2 linked regions of the Anolis sagrei genome follow. The protein of the gene in region 1 binds, or shares a complex with, the protein of each later gene. Links are inferred from orthologs where the notes say so. Each region holds a gene or a part of one and is shown on either strand. Other genes may lie near its edges. The genes, in order: ZBTB8OS and FAM98B.

Region 1 (3,924 bases):
GATTCTCCATACGGAGAGATAAAGAGGGAATACAAATAAATCAATAAATAAAATACAAATATTGCTAATAATAATAATAACAAGTATGGATCGTCAATGTTGCAATCCCAGGCAATAGCAGGATTGACGAGAAGCAACTGGAAAAGCTGACACGATATGAGGATTTAAAGACAGAACTGCAAAGACTCTGGCACAAGCAGTCAAAGTGGTCCCAATGGTGATCGGCACACTGGGTGCAGTGCCTAAAAACCTTGGCCTGCATTTAAAAACAATCAACACTGACAAAATTACCATCTGTCTGCTGCAAAAGGCCACCCTACTTGAATCTACACACATTATTCGGTGATACATCAGGGTCCTAGACACTTGGGTAGTGTCTGATGTGTGATCCAATACAACAGCCAGCACAGTGATCTTGTTTGCTGTGTACTAATCTTGTTATGTATCAAATAATAATAATAATAATAATAATAATAATAATAGCCTCTCACAAAACTATTTCCAACTTTCCTATTCTTTCCCTTGGAGTCAAGTTATGTCCATATTTAACAGGTTTTAAAGAAATGTATATAAATAAAAATGTAATGCTTGTTTGTGGGATTGACATAACTCAAAAACCACTGGATGTTTTGACACCAAATTTGGACACAATACACCTATAAAGACAACAAGTCACCATCACTCATAAAACACTGGCAAACACAGCAGAAGAGACTTAAAAGCAAAACAATAATACATTACAAAGCATGCACAAAACCACATATACACATACAAACACAGACACACATACACAAATATATAGACACACTAGCTGTACCCGCCACGCGTTGCTGTGGCCAACCTTCCCTCTCTCTTTCCCTCCTTCCTTCCCTCTTTCTTTCCTTCTTTCACTTTTTTATTTCCTTCTCTCCTTCCTTTTCTATCTTTCTTTCCTTCCTTCTCTCCTTCACTCCTTCTTTCCCTCTTTCCCTTCTTCCTTCCTTCCTTCCCACTTTCTGTGTGTATGTGTTTTGTGTGTGTATATATGCATATATGTGTATATATTTGTTTATATGTGTGTTTGCGCATGTGTTGTAATATATTTTTTTGCATCTATCATATACGTGTGTGTGTGTGTGTGTGTGAATGGCTGGATGGCCCTTTGTCAAGAAGGCTTTGATTATGTTTTCTTGCCCTGGTGAAGGGAGTTGGACTGTGTGGCAGCATTTCTCAACCTGGAAAGTCAAGACCCCAGGGAGGGGGGTTCACCAGGGGGGTGTCAGAATGGTCACCAAAGACCACCAGAAAACACAGAGTTTTCTGTTGGTCATGGGGTTCTGTGTGGGATGTTTAGCCGAATTCCATTATTGGTGGGGTTTGGAATGCTCTTTGATTGTAGGTGAACTATACATCCTAGTAACTACAACTCCCAAATGTCAAGGTCTATTCCCCCCAAACGCCATCTGTGTTCACATTTGGGCATATTGAGTATTCCTGTCAAGTTTGGTCCAGATCCATCATTGTTTGAGTCCTCAGTATTCTCTGGATGGAGGTGAACTACAATTCCAAAATCCAAGGTCAATGCCCACCACACCCTTTCAGTATTTTCTGTTAGTCGTGGGAGTCCTGTGTGCCAAGTTTGGTTCAATTCCATTGTTGGTGGAGTTCAGAATGCTCTTTGATTATAGGTGAACTATAAATCCCAGCAACTACAACTCCCAAATGACAAAATCATAATTTTTTATTTATGTTCACTCCTTGTGATGTGAAACATTTTGTTGCCAATTTTGGTGTAATTTCGTTCATTGGTTCTTTTGTTTTTAAGGTACTCATTATGCACAGAGCATTTATATATAGATAGATATATAGACACATATACACACACAAAACACTTATACACAGACTCTGTGTGTGGCAGGGGATGGCTAGTTGTTTTAATAATTTCACTGGCTTCAAATAAGTCCCATATTTAATTCCATTTTAGTGTTATGCTTTAGGTTTAAACATTGTGTGATTGTTTGTGTTTGGCTGCGTTGAGCCTCCTTTGAAAGAGAGAGAAAGCAAGAGAAATAGATAGATAGATTTGATTATAGATCAACCCCAGCCTGCATTTCTTGGCACCTTATTCATAAATCAGGAATGAAATCCTTTTCAAATAGATGGGAAAAGACTCACATTCGTACTTCTTCGAAATAGGCGCATATTTCGCTTTAATGAGCTTCTGGTCCTCGGTTAAATTGTAATCCCGGTAATTGTCCAGCTCCGTAGCTTCACTGAGAGCCATTCTAAGTTAAAATTAAGTCAAATCAATGGTTGTTTAGGGAGAAGGAATGGGAAGAGGTGGAGGGCACGGCCGGCAGCCTCTCTCTGCCTCCACTCTGCTCAGGTCCAGGCCAGGCGGCAAAGCAGGGCCTCTTCCTGGTTGCCTCTTAAAGAGACAGTAGCAGGTTTTGACGCAAGGGGGCACCTAGCAAGTTTGATTATTATTCAAACTTCCTAGGCTTTGTATTGTCGAAGGCTTTCATGGCTGGAATCACTAGGTTCTTGTGGGTTTTTTCGGGCTAAAGGGCCATGTTCTAGAGGCATTTCTCCTGACGTTTCGCCTGCATCTATGGCAAGCATCCTCAGAGGTAGTGAGGTCTGTTGGAATTAGGACAATGGGTTTATATATCTGTGGAATGACTGGGGTGGGGCAAAGAGCTCTTCTCTACTGGAGCTAGGTGTGAATGTTTCAGGTGACCACCTTCATTAGCATTTGAAGGCCTGGCTGAGCCTGGAGGAATCTTTTGTTGAGAGGTGTTAAGATGTGCCTGGTTGTTTCCTCTCTGCTCTTTTGCTGTTGTAATTTTAGAGTTTTTTAATACTGGTAGCCAGATTTTGTTCATTTTCATGGTCTCCTCCTTTCTGTTGAAATTGTCCACATGCTTGTGGATTTCAGTGGCTTCTCTGTGTAGTCTGACATGGTGGTTGTTGGTGTGATCCAACCAGGCCCGTAGCCAGGATTTTGTTTCGGGAGGGGGGGGGGGCTAAAAAAATTTCAGGGGGGGGTTCGGGGAGGGGGCTGAGTTTCGGGGGGGGGCTGAGTCTGAGTGAAAGAGGGTCTAGCCTAGCAAACCTTTTGTATCATTACCCCAATACCCCCATGCATATGGGATATATTGAGTATGGTGATCAGATCATGATATGAATAAACATAACAGTTTAAATAATGCACCAGTAAGGCCTTTTCACGAACCACCATGAGAATTTCGGGGGGGGGGGGGGCTGAAGCCCCTCAAGCCCCCCCCCCCCCCGGCTACATGCCTGGGTCCAGCATTTCTGTGTTCTCAAATAATATGCTGTGTCCAGGCTGGTTCATCAGGTGCTCTGCTATGGCTGACTTCTCTGGTTGAAGTAGTCTGCAGTGCCTTTCATGTTCCTTGATTCGTGTTTGGGCACTGCTACCAGTATTAAAAATTCTAAAATTACAACAGCAAAACAGCAGAGAGGAAACAACCAGGCACATTTTAGCACCTCTCAACAAAAGGTTTTCCCAGGCTCAGGCAGGCCTTCAAATGCTAATGAAGGTGATCAGCTGAAACATTCACACCTAACTGCAGCAGGAAAGAGCTCCTTGCCCCACCCCAGCCATTCCACAGATATATAAACCCATTGTCCTATTTCCAACAGACCTCACTACCTCTGAGGATGCTTGCCACAGATGCAGGCGAAACGTCAGGAGAAATGCCTCTAGAACATGTTCCTAGGCTTTCCCTCTAGGGACCCATAGGTCCTTCTTTGAGACTCTATGGATTTCAATATTCCCGGATTTGATTGAAAACAGTCTCTCTAGGAATGTCCAGGTCCTCCATTGGGACTCTGTGGATTTGAGGATTTCAGATTAAAAATCTTCTCTCTAGGAATCTTTTGGTCCTCCATTGTGACTCTATGAATGTGATTGTCCAT
Region 2 (3,924 bases), on another chromosome or scaffold:
ATTTGTTCAAAGATGTTGAGTACTCACAGTTAATGCTCAGTGAGAAAATCTGGCACACGGCTGTATAAATGAGTCCAGAATGAAAGTAGACTATATGGTCAGTATAGATATATAATGTATTTTAACTGACTATACACTGACCATATAATGCAGTTTCTAGGTCAGTGCTTCTCAACCTGTGTTTTGGCCTACTACTCCCAGAAATCCCAGCCAGTTTACCAGCTGTTAGGATTTCTGGGAGTTGAAGGCCAAAACATCTAGGGACACACAGGTTGAGAACCACTGTTCTAGATAATCACATGGCTCTCCAGAAATTGATAGGCTGCACTCCTCCTCATTGGCTATTGTGGCTGATAGGAGTTGCAGTTCAAGAAACATGTGGAGGAGTACATTATTCCCACACGAAAGATACAATTGGGAAGTCAATTGGGAAGTCAAGTATTTATTTGATTTATTTAAGAAATTTATACCCTGCCTTTCCCCACTTAAGGGCCCAAGGTGGTTTAATGTGGTTAAAAACATGCATAATAAAGGTTAAAACATTTAAAACCAAATATTAGTAGTTGCTGTCACACGTCCTAAAACTGGCTGTTAGGAATTGTGGGAGTTGAAGTCCAAAACACCTGGAGGGCCTAAGTTTGCCCCTGACTGGTGTACATACACTTTACTTATGAGGGCCTGACCTCTTAGTATTCCTATCACATTACATCAAAAGTCCCCAACCTTTGGTGCTCCAGTTATTTGGACTTCAACTCCCAGAAATCCCAGCCAGCTTACCAGCTGTTAGGAATTGTGGGAGCTGAAATTTATTTACAACATTTGTATCCCGCCCATATCAGCGCAAAGGCGACTCAGGGCGGTGTAGAAGTTGGCAGCAATTAGATGCCCTGTATAAAAATACATCAATAAAAAGCAAAAACATCACAATACATTTAAAAACAATTAAAAGCAGTGAAGAATAAAAATTATAAAAACGATGTCTTCTGGTTCAAATCTTCAACCGTTCCATCGTCTTAGACCAGAGGTCCTCAAACTTTTTAAACAGAGGGCCAGGTCACAGTCCCTCAAACTGTTGGAGGGCCGGATTATAATTTGAAAAAATATATGAATGAATTCCTATGCACACTGCACATATCTTATTTGTAGTGCAAAAGACACTTAAAACAATACAATAATTAAAATGAAGAACAATTTTAACAAATGTGAGTTTATTAGTATTTCAATGGGAAGTGTAGGCCTACTTTTGGCTGATGAGATAGGATTGTTGTTGTTGTTGTTGTTGTTGTTGTTGTGTGTTTTCAAGTCATTTCAGACTTAGGTTGACCCTGAGCGAGGGCCGGGTAAATGACCTTGGAGGGCTGTATCCAGCCCCCGGGCCTTAGTTTGAGGACCCCTGTCTTAGACATTCTAGTTCATTTTCCGATTTGAGTTTGTCTGGTCATGCTGTGGTTCCAAACGCTTGCTCAAAGAGTAAAGTTTTCACTCTTTTTCAAAAGGTCAGAAGGGAGGGGGCTGATCTAATATCCCTAGGCAGGGAGTTTCACAGCCGAGGGGCCACCACAGAGAAGGCCCTGTCTCTCGTTCCCGGCAAACGTGCTTGTGAATCAGGCGGGATTGAGAGCAGGGCCTCCTCAGACGATTTCAAGTTCCTGGAGGGTTCATAGGGAGAGATGCATTCTTCATCTGGAGAGGCCCTGCTCGTGATCCCACCTGCTTCGCAAGCGCGTTTGGTGGGGACACGAGACAGGGCCTTTTCTGTGGTGGTCCCCCGACTCTGGAACGCCCTCCCCAAAGTTCTTAGACAGGCCCCTACATTGGCAGTCTTTAGAAAGAACTTGAAGATCTGGCTGTTCCGATGTGCCTTTCCAGAATAGGAATCTCCAACAACAAGTCCCAGAAGCACTTTACTAGAATTGAGACTACCGCACACTGCACTTACCCTATAATCCTTACATACCACCTGTCACATCAGCACTTTTAACCTTGTACACATTACTCTGGCCTGGCCCAGTTTTATAGTGTTTTTGTTGTATTGTTTATTGCTTGTTGTTTAATATGCTTTAACTGTTTTTAATTTGCTTTAGGTGTTGTATTGTTATGTTGTGTTTTGAGGCCTTGGCCTTTGTAAGCCGCATCGAGTCCTTCGGGAGATGCTAGCGGGGTACAAATAAAGTTAATAATAGTAATAATAATAATAATAATAATAATAGATAAGTTGGGCCGGCACTGTTTAGGGTTTTATAGGTTAAAACAAGCACTTTGAATTATGCCTGGTAGAAAATTGGCAGCCAGTAGAGCTGACGCAACAGCGGAGTTGTATGCTCCCTGAACACTGCTCCTGTTAGTAATCTGGCTGCTGCACTCCAGCCCATTTGAAGCTTCCGAGCAGTCTTCAAGGGCAACCCCATGTAGAGTGCGTTGCAGTAATCTATACGGGATGTAACCAGAGCTTCCCAAGGTACGGGCGCAGTTGGCGCACAAGCTTTAACTGTGCAAATGCTCCCCTGATCACTGCCAAAACCTGGGCTTCCAGGCTCAGTGATGAGTCCAGGATCACTCCCAAAACACCTGGAGGACCAAAGGTTGGGAACCACTGGATTAAATGAATTATTGTTATTTCCGACCTGCTTCTCTGCATGGCGGGGGGACAGCAACGTACTGTAACACATTAATCAGTTTAAAGGACTATATAAGGCCAAAGCATATTAAAACCATCAGTATAGAATTTAAAACGAGCCTTTGAAAACTCAAGCAACGTGTGAGCCAGGGAAGAGTTCTTCCTGATCGAGGAGGAAAACTGAAGAGGGATATTCATAGGACATATAGTAAGGCAAGTCTCACCCCAGAGCCTCCAGCGCGTCCAGCACATCACACTCCATTTTCAGATCCTGCGCCAAGTGCTTCAACTGGCCGGTCCCACCGCGATCTCCGTCCCCCGGCCCTCGCGCAGGCGGATGGGTGTCACACTCAAGCTACGCCGACCGCGCGCCGCTCCCCGGCCTTTGGGTTCCGGCTTTTGGAAAACAAAGCAGCCTATGCGCACCATTTCCAGGCATGGGCAAACTTCGGCCCTCCAGGTGTTTTGGACTTCAACTCCGGTAGGCTGTTAGGAATTGTGGGAGTTGAAGTCCAAAACACCTGGAGAGCCGAAGTTTGCCCAAGCTTGGTGTAGCTGCATTCACTCTAAACATATATTTTTACATATTTTTCTCTAAATCTGTTTTTTTTAAAGTTTTAATCCTATTCATTTGAGCATCGCAATTAAAGGGAGATGGAATGTGTCAAGAGAAGGTCGACTTAAATGATCCAGGGTCTGGAGAACATGCCCCATGAGGAGAGGCTTAAAGAGCTGCGCATGTTTAGCCTGAAGAAGAGAAGGCTGAGAGGAGACATGATAGCCATGTATAAATACGTGAGAGGAAGTCATAAGGAGGAGGGAGCAGGCTTGTTTTCTGCTGCCCTGGAGATTAGGACGCAGAACAATGGCTTCAGACTACAGGAAAGGAGATTCCACCTGAACCTGAACTTCTTGACTGTGAGAGCTGGTGTTCAGCAGTGGAACTCTCTGCTCCGGAGTGTGGTGGAGGCTTTTAAGCAGAGGCTGGATGGCCATCTGTCAGTGTGCTTTGAATGCAATTTTTCTGCTTCTTGAGAGGGGGTTGGACTGGACTTAAATGATCAAGGGTCTGGAGAGCATGCCCCATGAGGAGAGGCTTAAAGAGCTGGGCATGTTTAGCCTGAAGAAGAGAAGGCTGAGAGGAGACATGACAGCCATGTACAAATATGTGAAAGGAAGTCATAGGGAGGAGGGAGCAGGCTTGTTTTCTGTTGCCCTGGAGACTAGGATGAGGAACAATGGCTTCAAAATACAAAAAAGGAGATTCCATCTGAACATTAGGAAGAACTTCTTGACTGTGAGAGCTG

What was found.
Region 2: ZBTB8OS (region 1) and FAM98B share a complex: the UniProt entries of both Homo sapiens proteins name them as parts of the tRNA-splicing ligase complex. The link is inferred for Anolis sagrei from reciprocal best matches to the Homo sapiens genes ZBTB8OS and FAM98B.

Annotation. Positions count from the first base shown.
Region 1 is NC_090034.1:83,665,189-83,669,112, forward strand, and holds the start of ZBTB8OS (protein archease), read right to left. Parts: upstream 2,396-3,924; 5' UTR 2,264-2,395; coding exon 2,155-2,263; intron 1-2,154. UniProt on the Homo sapiens protein: Component of the tRNA-splicing ligase complex required to facilitate the enzymatic turnover of catalytic subunit RTCB. Together with DDX1, acts by facilitating the guanylylation of RTCB, a key intermediate step in tRNA ligation.
Region 2 is NC_090021.1:292,584,681-292,588,604, forward strand, and holds the start of FAM98B (protein FAM98B), read right to left. Parts: upstream 2,952-3,924; 5' UTR 2,880-2,951; coding exon 2,842-2,879; intron 1-2,841. UniProt on the Homo sapiens protein: Positively stimulates PRMT1-induced protein arginine dimethylated arginine methylation.